Canis lupus familiaris: one gene and its partners. The protein of the gene in region 3 interacts with the protein of the main gene of each other region in a pairwise test. Links are inferred from orthologs where the notes say so. Each region holds a gene or a part of one and is shown on either strand. Other genes may lie near its edges.

Region 1 (4,185 bases), on a different chromosome or scaffold from region 3:
CCTGCTTCTCCCTCTGTGTCTCTGCCTCTGTGTGTGTGTGTGTGTGTGTGTGTGTGTGTGTGTGTGTCTCATGAATAAATAAATAAAATTTTAAAAAATAAAATGGGGACAAGTGAGGCACTAGGGAATGGGTGACTTCAACCTTGAAAGTGCTGAAAGGATGCAGTGAAACGCTGGGACACCTGCACCCCGATGTTTACAGCAGCAATGCCCACAATAGCCAAACTGTGGAAGGAGCCTCGGTATCCATCGAAAGATGGATGGATAGACAAGATGTGGTCTATGTATACAATGGAATATTCCTCAGCCGTTAGAAACGACAAATACCCACTATTTGCTTCAACATGGATGGAACTGGAGGGTATTATGCTGAGTGAAGTAAGTCAATTGGAAAAGGACAAACATTATATGGTCTCATTCACTTGGGGAATATAAAAGTTAACAAAAGGGAATAAAGGGAAAGGAGAGAAAATGAGTGAAAATATCAGTGAGGGTGACAAAACATGAGAGACACCTAATTCTGGGAAATGAACAGGGGTAGTGGAAGGGGCGGTAGGCGGGGGGTTGGGGTGACTGGGTGATGGGCACTGAGAGGGGCACTTGGCGGGATGAGCACTGGGTGTTATACTATATGTTGGCAAATCGAACTCCAAAAAATAAAAATAAAAAAATAAAAAATAAAATCAGAAAAAAAGAAAAAAAATGAAAGTGCTGAAAGGCCAAATTCCCAGTGTAGTGGAAAACACAGCTGTCAGAAGTCACCCGCCCTCAGGCTAGAGCCGCCCAGAATCAGAAACGAGAGAGAAAAGAATTTTGACCTTTAAAGTATAGGCATTTCATATTGTCAGGCAGTGCAATATTGCTGGTGTTTACAGGTTTTACTGCTTGTGGTCAGCACGTTAACACATCAGTTGGAAAAAAATAATCACAAAAGAGTGACAGCAGTTCTCTTACTCAAAGGGTAAACTGACTTTTCCTGTGATTCTGTGGCCTTGAAGAGAGCCAGATAGAACCTAAGCATCCTGTCAGTCATAAGTACTGCCCTTTTTCAGCAGAACCCTCCAGTTGGTATTAACCTTTCTTCAGTGAAGACATTTTTATATCTAGATTCAAATTTGTTCACCAATATGGGTGGAAAATAGGCTGATTATCCTAGTAACTTACCATTTTCTGAGTCATCACAGTCAAGAAGTCACTAAAGTTCATTTTTCCTGTCCCTTCCTTATCGATTTCACTTATCATTTTTTTGATCTCTTCTTTTTTGGGTTCAAAGCCCAGTGCCCTCATTGCCACCTACAATGAAAACAGGATCATGTCAATATGCACATCAAAACCTGGCAGGAACAAAAATGACAGTGAGAGCATGAGGCCAGCATCTGACACAATCATGTTAAAATGACTGGGAAACACTATAGCGTTATGCAGATTGATATTTGTGCTCAATTTTATTTTATAACACTTGAGGTAAATAAAGACAGGAGAAGAGAAAAACAGGAAAACTTTTTGCAGGGAAAAGAGGGCAAAAGGGGTAGAGCAGTGACAAGGAAAGAAGAGAAAGAAGTAGAGGAAAGGAAGGCAGTACAGTGGGAATGTAAAGGGCTTGCCTTAAGTTCCTTTACGTCTATGGTCCCAGTTCCATCAGCATCAAAGAGATCAAAAGCTTCCCGGATTTCCTGTTTCTGCTCTTCAGTCAGCTCCGGCTTAGGACTCATCCTTTTTCGTTGGGCAGATGATGCCATGCTTGCCTTCTTAAAGTTAGAGGCCTTTAGGTGTTTTACAAACACAGAAGTACGATATTAAGTGATGCAATCCATATTTTACATAAAATAGTTACAAATATTTACATAAAATATTTACACCAAGCAATTCCACAGCTTTGCTTAATAGGAGAGATAACAGGGCTTTACTTGAAACAACAATCTTTCCGTGCACCGCTATCCCTCCTTCTTTTTTCCTATTCTTTGTAGAAGCAAGGAGATCCCGTGTTCCTTTGCACATCTCTTATTGAAAATCATCCCCAAAGAGATCCAGCCAAGGAGCTGACTGTGGATAACTGTACAGATGATCAGCTGTCCTTGAATTTGGCGATCCTAATTCAAGAAAAGCCCTTACAACATTGGCTCGCAGTATTCCTCCTCTCTGTACTCCAACTTTGTGATTACTTCTACATTTGGCCCAATATTACTACTTTGCTAAGGTGTATAATAAAATTCCATCCACTAGGCAGGTCTGTGCCTACTTTAATTAGATCAAAACGTCTCCCGAAAGATCCCTGTATTTATTCAGAATGCACGTTAACAATCAAACATAATAAACCTCCTCCCAGGTCTGTGGGTAAACTTTGGTAGCACGAAGCGACCAGGAGGTCAGGGTCTGAGAGGTCAGAGCCTGCGGGTAACCCGAGTATTCTTTGACCAGGGGCAGTCACGCGGGGGCTGGCAGGGGAAGGCCACGCGCGCCCGAGGGATGGGTGGGCGCAGACTGAACGAAGGGGAGGCGGCGCAGGACCGCAGGCCCAGGTGGCGGCCGACGTCTCTACCCTACCCTTCCGGGAACTAGCCGAGAGGAAGTAGGGGCACTCCAAAGCCGAGAGCGGCGCGGGAGCGACGGCAGGGCCACACGAAGCCTGAGAAGGGCTCAGCCCCTGGCCGCGGGGCACCAAAGGGCGGCCCCCACTCACCATTGCCGATGGACTCCGCGGACCGTTGTTACGGCAACCGACGTACACACTGACTCGGCGCCTTTCCCACCGCCCCGCGCGCGCGGCTCCGCTCCCCATTGGCAGCCCGCTCGCCGCCGCTGCTCCCCATTGGCGGGGAGCCGTGGTGGGTGGGGCTAAGCGGACAAAGGCCAGGCCCAGGGCAAGGGGGCTGTGCTTTCACAGCCGAGGCCTGGCCTCATTGGACAGGATCACATTGTGAGCGCCGATTGGCTGAGCCGGCGCCGAGCTGAGCCAATCCCCTTGGCGGAGGCATCTCGGCCGATCCTCGGCTCATGCTGGTGGGGAGAAAAGGGTGACCGCCAGCGGCCCGAGGCCTTTGGGTGCAAGCTGAGGGCGCGCGGAGGCTGGCCGGGGGGTCGCCTACGGACGGGTAAGGGTCACGACCTCACCCTCGGAGGCTGCCTTCTATCCGCTACTGGGTGGGAGGGTAGGGGGCTGGGTGGGGCCTTCCGGTTGGGGGCTTTCTGGTCTGGCTTAAGACTGAATTTGGAAAGAGGGGCCAGAGAAGACCGTGACCTTGAGGGTCAGAGCAGAGACTGTGCTCAAGGGACAGCAGAGCCAGAGAAGGGAATGGGAGTGTCGAGGAGGTGTGGACAGCTGCGACTTAGAAACCGAATCCCGCTGAGGCTCTCCCTTTGAGGGGGAGTTTTGAGGGAGTGAAACAGATATGACTGAGCATGAGGGGAGAGGTCATCAAAATGTACTTTTTGACACCCACTCGGGCGGAGACACTGAGCAAAGTCACACAAGAGTTTTGAAAGTGTGAGGGGTGCCTGGAGACTGTTCTTTTATAAAACTCTGTTAAATTTCTTTTGTTTTCTTTAATCATGATAAGTGCAGTCTTTATTTCCCATCACCAATGTAACGTATTCCCCCCCCCACCTCCCCTCTGGTCACCATCAGTGTGTTCTCTGTAGTTAAGAGTCTGTTTCTTGGTTGGCCTCTCTTCACCCCCCCCCCCATGTTCATTTATTTTGTTTCTTAAATTCTACATATGAATGAAATCATATGGTATTTGTCTTTCTCTGACATTTCACTTGCCATAATATTCTCTAGCCCCATCCATGTCAATGCAAATGGCAAGGTTTCATTTTTTATGGCTGGATGGTATTCCCCACACACGCACACACATACACACACACCCCACATCTCCTTTATCCACTCATCTGTTGATGGACACTTGGGCTGCTTGCATATCTTAGCTATCATGAACAATGCTGCTACAAACATCAGTGTGCATGTATCCCTTTGAATTTGTATTTGTGTTCTTTGAGTAACAGTAGTGCAATTACTAGATCATGAGAGTAGTTCTATTTTCAATTTTTTGACGAACCTCCATACTGTTTTACGCAGTGGCTGCACAGGTTGCATTCGCACCAACACCGGGAGACGGTTCCCCTTTCTCCACATCCTTGCCAGCACCTGCTATTTTTTGTGTTGTTGATTTTCGCCATTCTGGCAGC
Region 2 (4,196 bases), about 12 Mb from region 3:
ACTGGTTCTCTCCCTTCTTTAAACATATATATATATATATGTTTATATAATAAAAATATATACCTAAACACATATATAAATATATACATAAACATATATATATATATTTATTTATTTATGATAGTCACACACAGAGAGAGGCAGAGACATAGGCAGAGGGAGAAGCAGGCTCCATGCACCGGGAGCCCGACATGGGATTCGATCCCGGGTCTCCAGGATCGTGCCCTGGGCCAAAGGCAGGCGCCAAACCGCTGCGCCACCCAGGGATCCCAACATAAACATGTGTATTAAATATATAAACATGTTTATACGTATAAACATATTTATATATAAACATATATAAAAACATATATAAACATATATATGTTGAGGATATATATATATATATATATATATCCTTTATACATAGCCCATAGTGTTTATACATCTTCCCCCTTACCCTGCCTCAACGCCATATTCAGGCTATTTCACTCCTTTATAAGGGTTACAACTTAGTTCAGTGATTTGTGGGTTTTCACAGCAAGATCCCACCCAACGCAACAAATATTCATTGAGCGCCTGTGCATCAGGCACCGTATCAGGCACTGGGATCCGCGTTAAATGAAAGATACCATCCTGCACTTGAAGAAAGCCTAGTAGGAGTGATGAACAAGTAAACAAATTACCCAGGTGAGCTTCAAGAACTTAGTTTGGAGCTTAAGATAATATAACGTGTATAAGCAGCTTCCAACCCTGTAAAACAAAGGATGCAAGAGAACAGATCCCTTCAGGGAGGGAGAAGGGAGCTAAGGTACCGTCAAGTGCCGCTTTACCGTAAGTAGCCTAATAATCCAACCCATTAGATATACAATCTATAAGCGACAGCACCTGCCTTAAAAGCACGTGGGATTGTAAGGGGGAAAAAAATGCAAATTCATACCTACTAAAATCAGAATTGGGAGGACGGGACGTTTAAATCTGCGTTTTAAACAAACTCCCCATGGACTCAGGCCACCCAAGGTTTTAGAACACAGCGCAGTCAAATTCGGCAGGCCTCATTCCCCAGCCGCTCCCTCCCTTCGGCTAAGGAGGCTGGCCCCGCGGCGCGCCTCTCCTCCCTCCCTCCCTTCTCCCCCGGAGCCGTCCATCTCGTCGGCGGTCACCCAGCGGGAGGCAAGGTGCAGCCACCTACCGCCCAAACTACCACGCAGACACCTGGACCCTCGCTCCGCAAAGGATTCCGGGAAACCTCAACAAGCCAATAAAGGGCGGGGAGGAGGGGCAGAAGAAGAGGGACGAGCGGCTTCTTTGATTGACGCGAAGCACGCCCAATGAGAGCAGAGGACCAGGGACGCTTCCGCCTCAATGGGCGGGCTGTTAGCAACGTCAACCAATCCGACTCCGAAGCGTCTACCTTGTGGGAGGTCCTTGAGGCCGCTGAGGTCGTTGGTGTCTGTTGAACGGCTTGTGGAAGTCGTGCTGCCTTGGGCAGGGCGTTAAAGTCGTTCTCGAGGGGAACGTCTCTGTCCGAAGAGAAAATGAGTTTAGCTCTGAGGTCGGTAATGAGGAGGCCGCAATGCCCTCCACACCTCGCAGCGGGCCCCAGGGCTGGCGTGTGTAGAAGGGAGGTAGCTGGGCCGAGGCGAGCTGGAAGGGGATGCATTTTGGGATGAGGGCGAGGAGCCTCGGCCAGCCTTCCTGGCTCGGATTCCTCACCCTGGGGGCCCTGGTGCTCCGCAGGTGAGGAGTCCCGTGCATTTGTGCCGAGGTAGTTAGCGTCTGTATCAGCGCGTCGGGCTTTGCACCACCGAGGAGATGGGTTTCTAGTTGGGAGGAGGGAGTGAAATATCGCGATGCTTCTTCTCGCGGTGTTTCTCCGCGAAGTCAGGCCGGGGAGCCTCCCTGGGTTCAGCTCCGCCCTCCGGGTCTCCGGCCCCTGCAGCCCCTGCAGCCCCTGCAGCCCCTGCAGCCCCTGCAGCCCCTGCAGCCCCTGCAGCCCCTGCAGCCCCTGCAGCCCCTGCAGCCCCTGCAGCCGTCAGACCGAGCTATAAATTTTGGAAAGAGCTTTAAACTCTTCCTTGCTCTTATCCTGGGGCCCTGCTTTAAGATATAACGGGCGACCCATATAAATGACTTTAATTGATTTCTCAAAAAAAAATTTTTTTTTAGTTTTGTTTACCTTTCATTGACTTCCAATCTCTAACCCCGTTCGTTGCCCCCAGCAGCAGCAGCACCTAGATGTTTTTACACGTTGCACCTTAAAAAAAAAAAAAAAAAAAAAAAAAAAAAAGGTGGTTACGCCTTTCTGAACAGGTGCGGCTTTGGGTTGGGAGATGATGGTGGCAGCCCTGCCTCGACCCCGTGGCGGGTCCTGCTGTTGACCTGGCCGTCCAGAGAAGGTGACCGCGGGGACTGGGGTCCCTGTTCGCGCGAAGTCAGGTGTCTTGTGAAAGGTTGTCCCCCCGCTCTGTTTATTACTATAGGTCTCCTGGTCATCTTCTGATCGTCTGTCTCTTGACGGTTTTGTGGTAGGTTTTTAGAAAGCAAAACACAGGCAAATAGGTAAGGTGTTTTTATTAAATAAAATCAACTAGGCTTTACATTTCAAAGTGTTAGGAAATTGGTTTCAAACTTCTTGTACGGATGTTGCGGCACCATTCGAAATTTTGGAACACTAAGATGAGTATCTCTTAAGACATACCTGGCTTTTTTTTTTTTTTTTCCTTTTTTTTTTAACATTTATTTATTCTTGAGAGTTAGAGAGGCAGAGACACAGGCAGATGGAGAAGCAAGCTCCAATGCAGGGAGCCCGGTGCAGGGACTCGATCCCGGGACCCCAGGGTCACGCCCTGGACTGAAGGCAGGTGCTCAACCGCTGGGCCACCCAGGGATCCCCATTTCTGCCTTTTTAAATAAAATCTACTTTCAAGAAATTTCCAGGATTTAGGAGAAGCTATATCTAAATTTACAAGTGAAATTTAGAAAACCATGGACTCTTCACTATGGGGTGAGCAAGGCTTTGACTCATGGAAGAAAAATTTCATTTTTCTCTCAAATAATTCCTTTTAAGAAATTTAAAAAATATAGAAAATTAGCACAAACATTCTTGTTTTGGCTTTTAATTTTCATGGTATATTTAGACTTCAGTATTTCGGTTGATTTGTTAATATCAATGGAAGAAATTATAAATAAAGCCCCAAACTTAGCAATGTGTACTGTAAATCACTTTGAACCCACAATGCCACAAACTTTGTAAGTTAATTGTTAAGTGATACGCTTTTTTTGGTAGTAATTTTGATAACTTATAAATGCTCTCAAAAGTAAGCCAAATATGCAATGATCCTCAATTATGAATTTTCCTTTGATTAGTTTAATACTATGTTGTAGAGTAATGTTAATAAGTAGGAGTGCTTTAGTTTTGTTGCGATTTCTGTGATGAATAATTTTTTTATTCACAGTTATTTCTTCCACATTAATATCAGAATAAATACAAAGCCAGAAGGAAAGAAAGTTAGGTCCTTTTTTTCTTATAATAACATGTAACACTTTTCAGTTTTGGAAAGTGCAGATTTATAGCAGCTTAGACTATGGATTGAGCAAGGCTTTGACTCATGGGAAGAAAAATTTCATTTTTCTCTCAAATAATTCCTTTTTAGAAATTAAAAAAATTCTTCCTTGTTTAATTTCTTTGTCGCATTTTGAAATTTTAATTATCTAGATGTGTAGGAGAATAGAATTAAAGTAGACTGAATAGACTTTTCTTCTCATTTCATAGAAATGAGCTTGTAGTAGACAAAACAAAGAGAAAAAAAAGAAGAGAACTCTCTGAAGAACAGAAACAAGAAATTAAAGATGCTTTTGAACTGTTTGACACAGACAAAGATGAAGCAATAGATTATCATGAACTAAAGGTAATAATGTACTTTAAAATGTATATTTTTCTGTTAAAATTGTTTGCATTTTCTATAGTTGGCTAAAATAACCCATCTAAAGTATTTTAACTAAACTGGTTGTGGAAATATGAAACCATTTGAGATGTTCACAGTTAAGTGCTATAATAAAATTAAATACTAGCATCTTTTTAGACTTTCCTTTTCACACTGTGAAGCGAATAGTATTTTAAATATAAAAGTATATTACTATGGTAGGGCCTTATTTTCACTCATGTAATAAAAAGATTTCAAACTATAGGTTTTAAACAGTTCTTACTGTATTTT
Region 3 (3,486 bases):
GATGTCTATCTCACATTTATTCTCTGTTCTATTACAACAGAACGCAGTAAGAAAAACTATTTCCTATAATAAAGTTAGAGCATAGATCACGTTCAAAGTCAAAGAGGCTTCTAATTAAGTCCATCTAGTTCTGCTAAAGATATGAAAATTGAGGCTCCGGATAAATCCTTTAGAATTTGTTTTTATGTAACCCAGAGTACTGGGTGAGATAGGAGGGGAAGGTAGATGTCACTGTTTCACAGATGGGATCCTATTATTCATGAAATTAAATGTTTGGCCCAAGATAACCCAGTCAGCTAGCAATAAAACCATGAGAAGCCTGGTCCTGCTTTCCTCAGTCACTTTTACCCAGCTGGCTTCCTCCTATTGGCCAGCCTCTGAAAAGTCTCTGCCAGGCCCAGAAGGTTTGCTGAGTTGCCCAGTGCTATACCCACCCCCATTTAACATTAACATTATTCATAGGTCTCACCAATTCTCATTTTTAATTTTAACAGTCTTAGGAAAATGAAAACTAATATTAATATATTAATAATAATCACAAAGACTTTGTGATACAGTATCATTATTACTCTTTATTTTTAAAATAAAAATACCTTAATTAAATCTGTTTAAAATAATTTTTTTAATAAAGTTCTCAAAATTTATTTAATAACACTGGAAATGATTTAGCCTTTTGGAAATAACATTGAGAAAACAGGATTTATACACTTTTATGGTATAATCAGGGACAGGCTGAACTTATTAAACAAATTAAGTCGCTTTTTAAAAAAGTTTTACTTAATTGCTTAAATTAAAAAATAACATTAAAATAAGCCTACATATAGTTACAAAGGATGGTATGACTTGAAAGAGTCTCTTGTAATTTTGAAAAGATGAACATGATGTATCCATGGTGTTCTAAGAAGATGAAATTTTAAAAGCTAGAGACTTCAAATCCTTGGTAAAACCAGAAGAATTAAAAGATCTCAATGTGCATATTCATTTTAGTCAACCACTTTTATGGAGTGAATGCTTGTGAGAGACTGGGTGTGAGTTGACCTGGTTCCGAGGGACCGAGAAGCTGAGGTACTACTTTCAGGATGAATCGTCCGGGGATATTTTGCTGCAGCAGCTTGAGGAATGGTTTGCTGAAAAAGTTAAAAGTCTACTTTAACAATCCCGTAAGATTACACACATTAAGTGCCATTTCATTATATATAATTTAACCAAACAAACATTTGTTAAGCATCCAGTAGACAGAGGCAGTAAGCTAGGGAGGCAGCCATGAGAACAATTAAGCTGTGGTCCTTAATCCGTAAGTTAGACTCATGCTCAATACTCAGTATAGACCTACCTTGCAGAGGGTCACATAAGGAGCCGTGGGAGTCACTCCACAGAGAGGATTCCAGGGGAATCCTGAAATGTCCACAGAGGCCAAGTACAGAAAGGGACTTTATGGTGTCTGGAAGAAGGGTCAGCCCCAAGCCCTCCCTCCATTCTGGTCAGTTTTCTCCTCCCTGTATCTGTGAACACACGGGGTTCAACCTCAGGGAACAAGGGGGAAGCTCTGAGGAATCCTGCCTGGTCCTTGCTTCAGAAAAGAGCACATGTCTCCTACCTCAGCCTGGCTCACCTGGGAGCTGACTAAACCTTTTATGATCATACAAGCGAAGGTATTTCCAGCAGCCTGGTGCTCCTCAGCATGGATTACAACTTTCTATACAAATAACTGGATGCTAGGGACACACACTGAGAGGAGGATACCCATGCCACGTCAGAGCTCTGGGGAACATCTGGGACGTGAGCATCGAAGACTCAGTCAGGGTACAACCTACACATGTGTTTCACCTACACATGTAATATGTGCAAGTACAGATTTTCTAAGTACACATTACATGCATACACACGCATGAGACGTACCAGTACAAGGATTCCCTATACTCTGGGGCTACAACTTCCAGTAGGCAGCAGTGGAACTCATTATCCAGTCGGCAGGCCACGGCACTGAGTGGTGCAGGCACATTCCTAGTAGAGTCTTCCACTTAGAGGAGTCCTCTTTAAAGTACTTGAAGTAAAATGATATATATCTGACCACAACATTCACTATGTATTTTAAAAAAACCTTTTCTTAAAAAAATAATGAATGAAAACTCTTAAAGCTGTTTGTGACATTCCGCTTTAAGAGTTCCTCCTTAAAGAAACAGAAAAATAATTTCCTGACTGTAAGGTATTTTACAGAACTATTTCACTGTACGTAAGTAACTGGATAAGCATTACAGGTGGGGAGATCTTCCAACTAGTAAGAAACTAGTTGCCAACCACCTAATCCGACCCTGTTCAGAGAGCGATTTCTCCTTGGGGACCTGGGCTACAGGAAATGGAGAAACAGATTCACCCTACCACTGCTTTCATGATCTACAAAAATATGACCTAGAATGAGGGAGCACAGGGAACAAGCAATTATCCAGCAGATGGGGCTAATGTGTCAGAAATCCATGGTTTGTTAGGAACAGCTGTTTCCAGTAGTTACAGCTCCCAATTCTGGGGATAGAGGGAGAGTACAGAGGACTGCTCTAGCTGTCTGTCATATAGTCCCACTTAGGGAATAACGGAAGCAGTTGACGGCTGTCTTGTTCACAACCAGTTGCTGGAGAAGTGTTATAGACAATCAGCAAAGGGCAGCTGGGGAGGGAAGCCTCAGAGGAGTTGTCTTTTATTTCTTTGGTTTTTTTTCCTCGTAGAATACAAATTCCTATCATTAGTACAAAAACAAAAGGCTGCCTAAATTAAAAGTAAGCATATATGTATGGTCTCTTTATGCCTTCATTATCTTATAAATGGATAGTCCCTTCTCTATACACATATGTGCTGGCAAAAATAGAAATTAGTTCATTTCTTATTTCTGATAACTAATCTCACATATTCAAACATATGTCGAGAAGTCACCTAAGGACTTCAGAGTCTCTGCAACCTCTGAAGGCTGATACTCCTCCACCTTCCATATCCATCTGGACTTGGTGCCTCTGTGTCCGTCTTCCACTTTCCTTTCCTATGGCCATTCTTTACCGGAGGCTAAGTTTAAACAATCTCTCCAGCTTCTCTTAATCATCTAGCAACCATCTAGTGCCCAGAAAGAAAAGGATGCAAAATCATTTCACATATATTTTTGCTAATATTTTGACACAGTAAGTAGACAGGAATGTTGTCTAACATTGAAAATTTATGTACGGAGCATTCTCTTTTAAAATCAATTCTTGTTTCTCTTTAAGGATGTGATCTTATAACTTTCAAAAAAAAAACTTTTTGAGAAAATTGTTGATTCATATGCACTGTTAAGAAATAATACAGCAGTATCCCATGTACCTTACTCTAGTAATTTTCAAGTTCAATATGCTTATGATGTTACAATTTATAAAATACCTTTTAAAAAAATCTATATCTCATTCAATTTTTACATTATCTCATTTAATCCTGAATCCAGAAAATAACTGTAGGAGCGAAGTACTC

Evidence for each region.
Region 1: the proteins of POC5 (region 3) and CETN2 interact in binary tests that used the Homo sapiens proteins (3 or more experiments, as listed by UniProt). The link is inferred for Canis lupus familiaris from reciprocal best matches to the Homo sapiens genes POC5 and CETN2.
Region 2: the proteins of POC5 (region 3) and CETN3 interact in binary tests that used the Homo sapiens proteins (3 or more experiments, as listed by UniProt). The link is inferred for Canis lupus familiaris from reciprocal best matches to the Homo sapiens genes POC5 and CETN3.

Annotation. Positions count from the first base shown.
Region 1 is NC_049260.1:122,023,796-122,027,980, forward strand, and holds the start of CETN2 (centrin-2), read right to left. Parts: upstream 2,820-4,185; 5' UTR 2,780-2,819; coding exon 2,681-2,779; intron 1,764-2,680; coding exon 1,605-1,763; intron 1,294-1,604; coding exon 1,165-1,293; intron 1-1,164. UniProt on the Homo sapiens protein: Plays a fundamental role in microtubule organizing center structure and function. Required for centriole duplication and correct spindle formation. Has a role in regulating cytokinesis and genome stability via cooperation with CALM1 and CCP110.
Region 2 is NC_049224.1:18,661,779-18,665,974, forward strand, and holds the start of CETN3 (centrin-3), read left to right. Parts: upstream 1-1,377; 5' UTR 1,378-1,517; coding exon 1,518-1,534; intron 1,535-3,754; coding exon 3,755-3,890; intron 3,891-4,196. UniProt on the Homo sapiens protein: Plays a fundamental role in microtubule-organizing center structure and function. As a component of the TREX-2 complex, involved in the export of mRNAs to the cytoplasm through the nuclear pores.
Region 3 is NC_049224.1:30,951,251-30,954,736, reverse strand, and holds the end of POC5 (centrosomal protein POC5), read right to left. Parts: intron 3,100-3,486; coding exon of another isoform or gene 3,085-3,099; exon of another isoform or gene 2,072-3,084; intron 2,045-2,071; coding exon of another isoform or gene 1,928-2,044; exon of another isoform or gene 1,900-1,927; intron 1,128-1,899; coding exon 984-1,127; 3' UTR 553-983; downstream 1-552. UniProt on the Homo sapiens protein: Essential for the assembly of the distal half of centrioles, required for centriole elongation. Acts as a negative regulator of centriole elongation.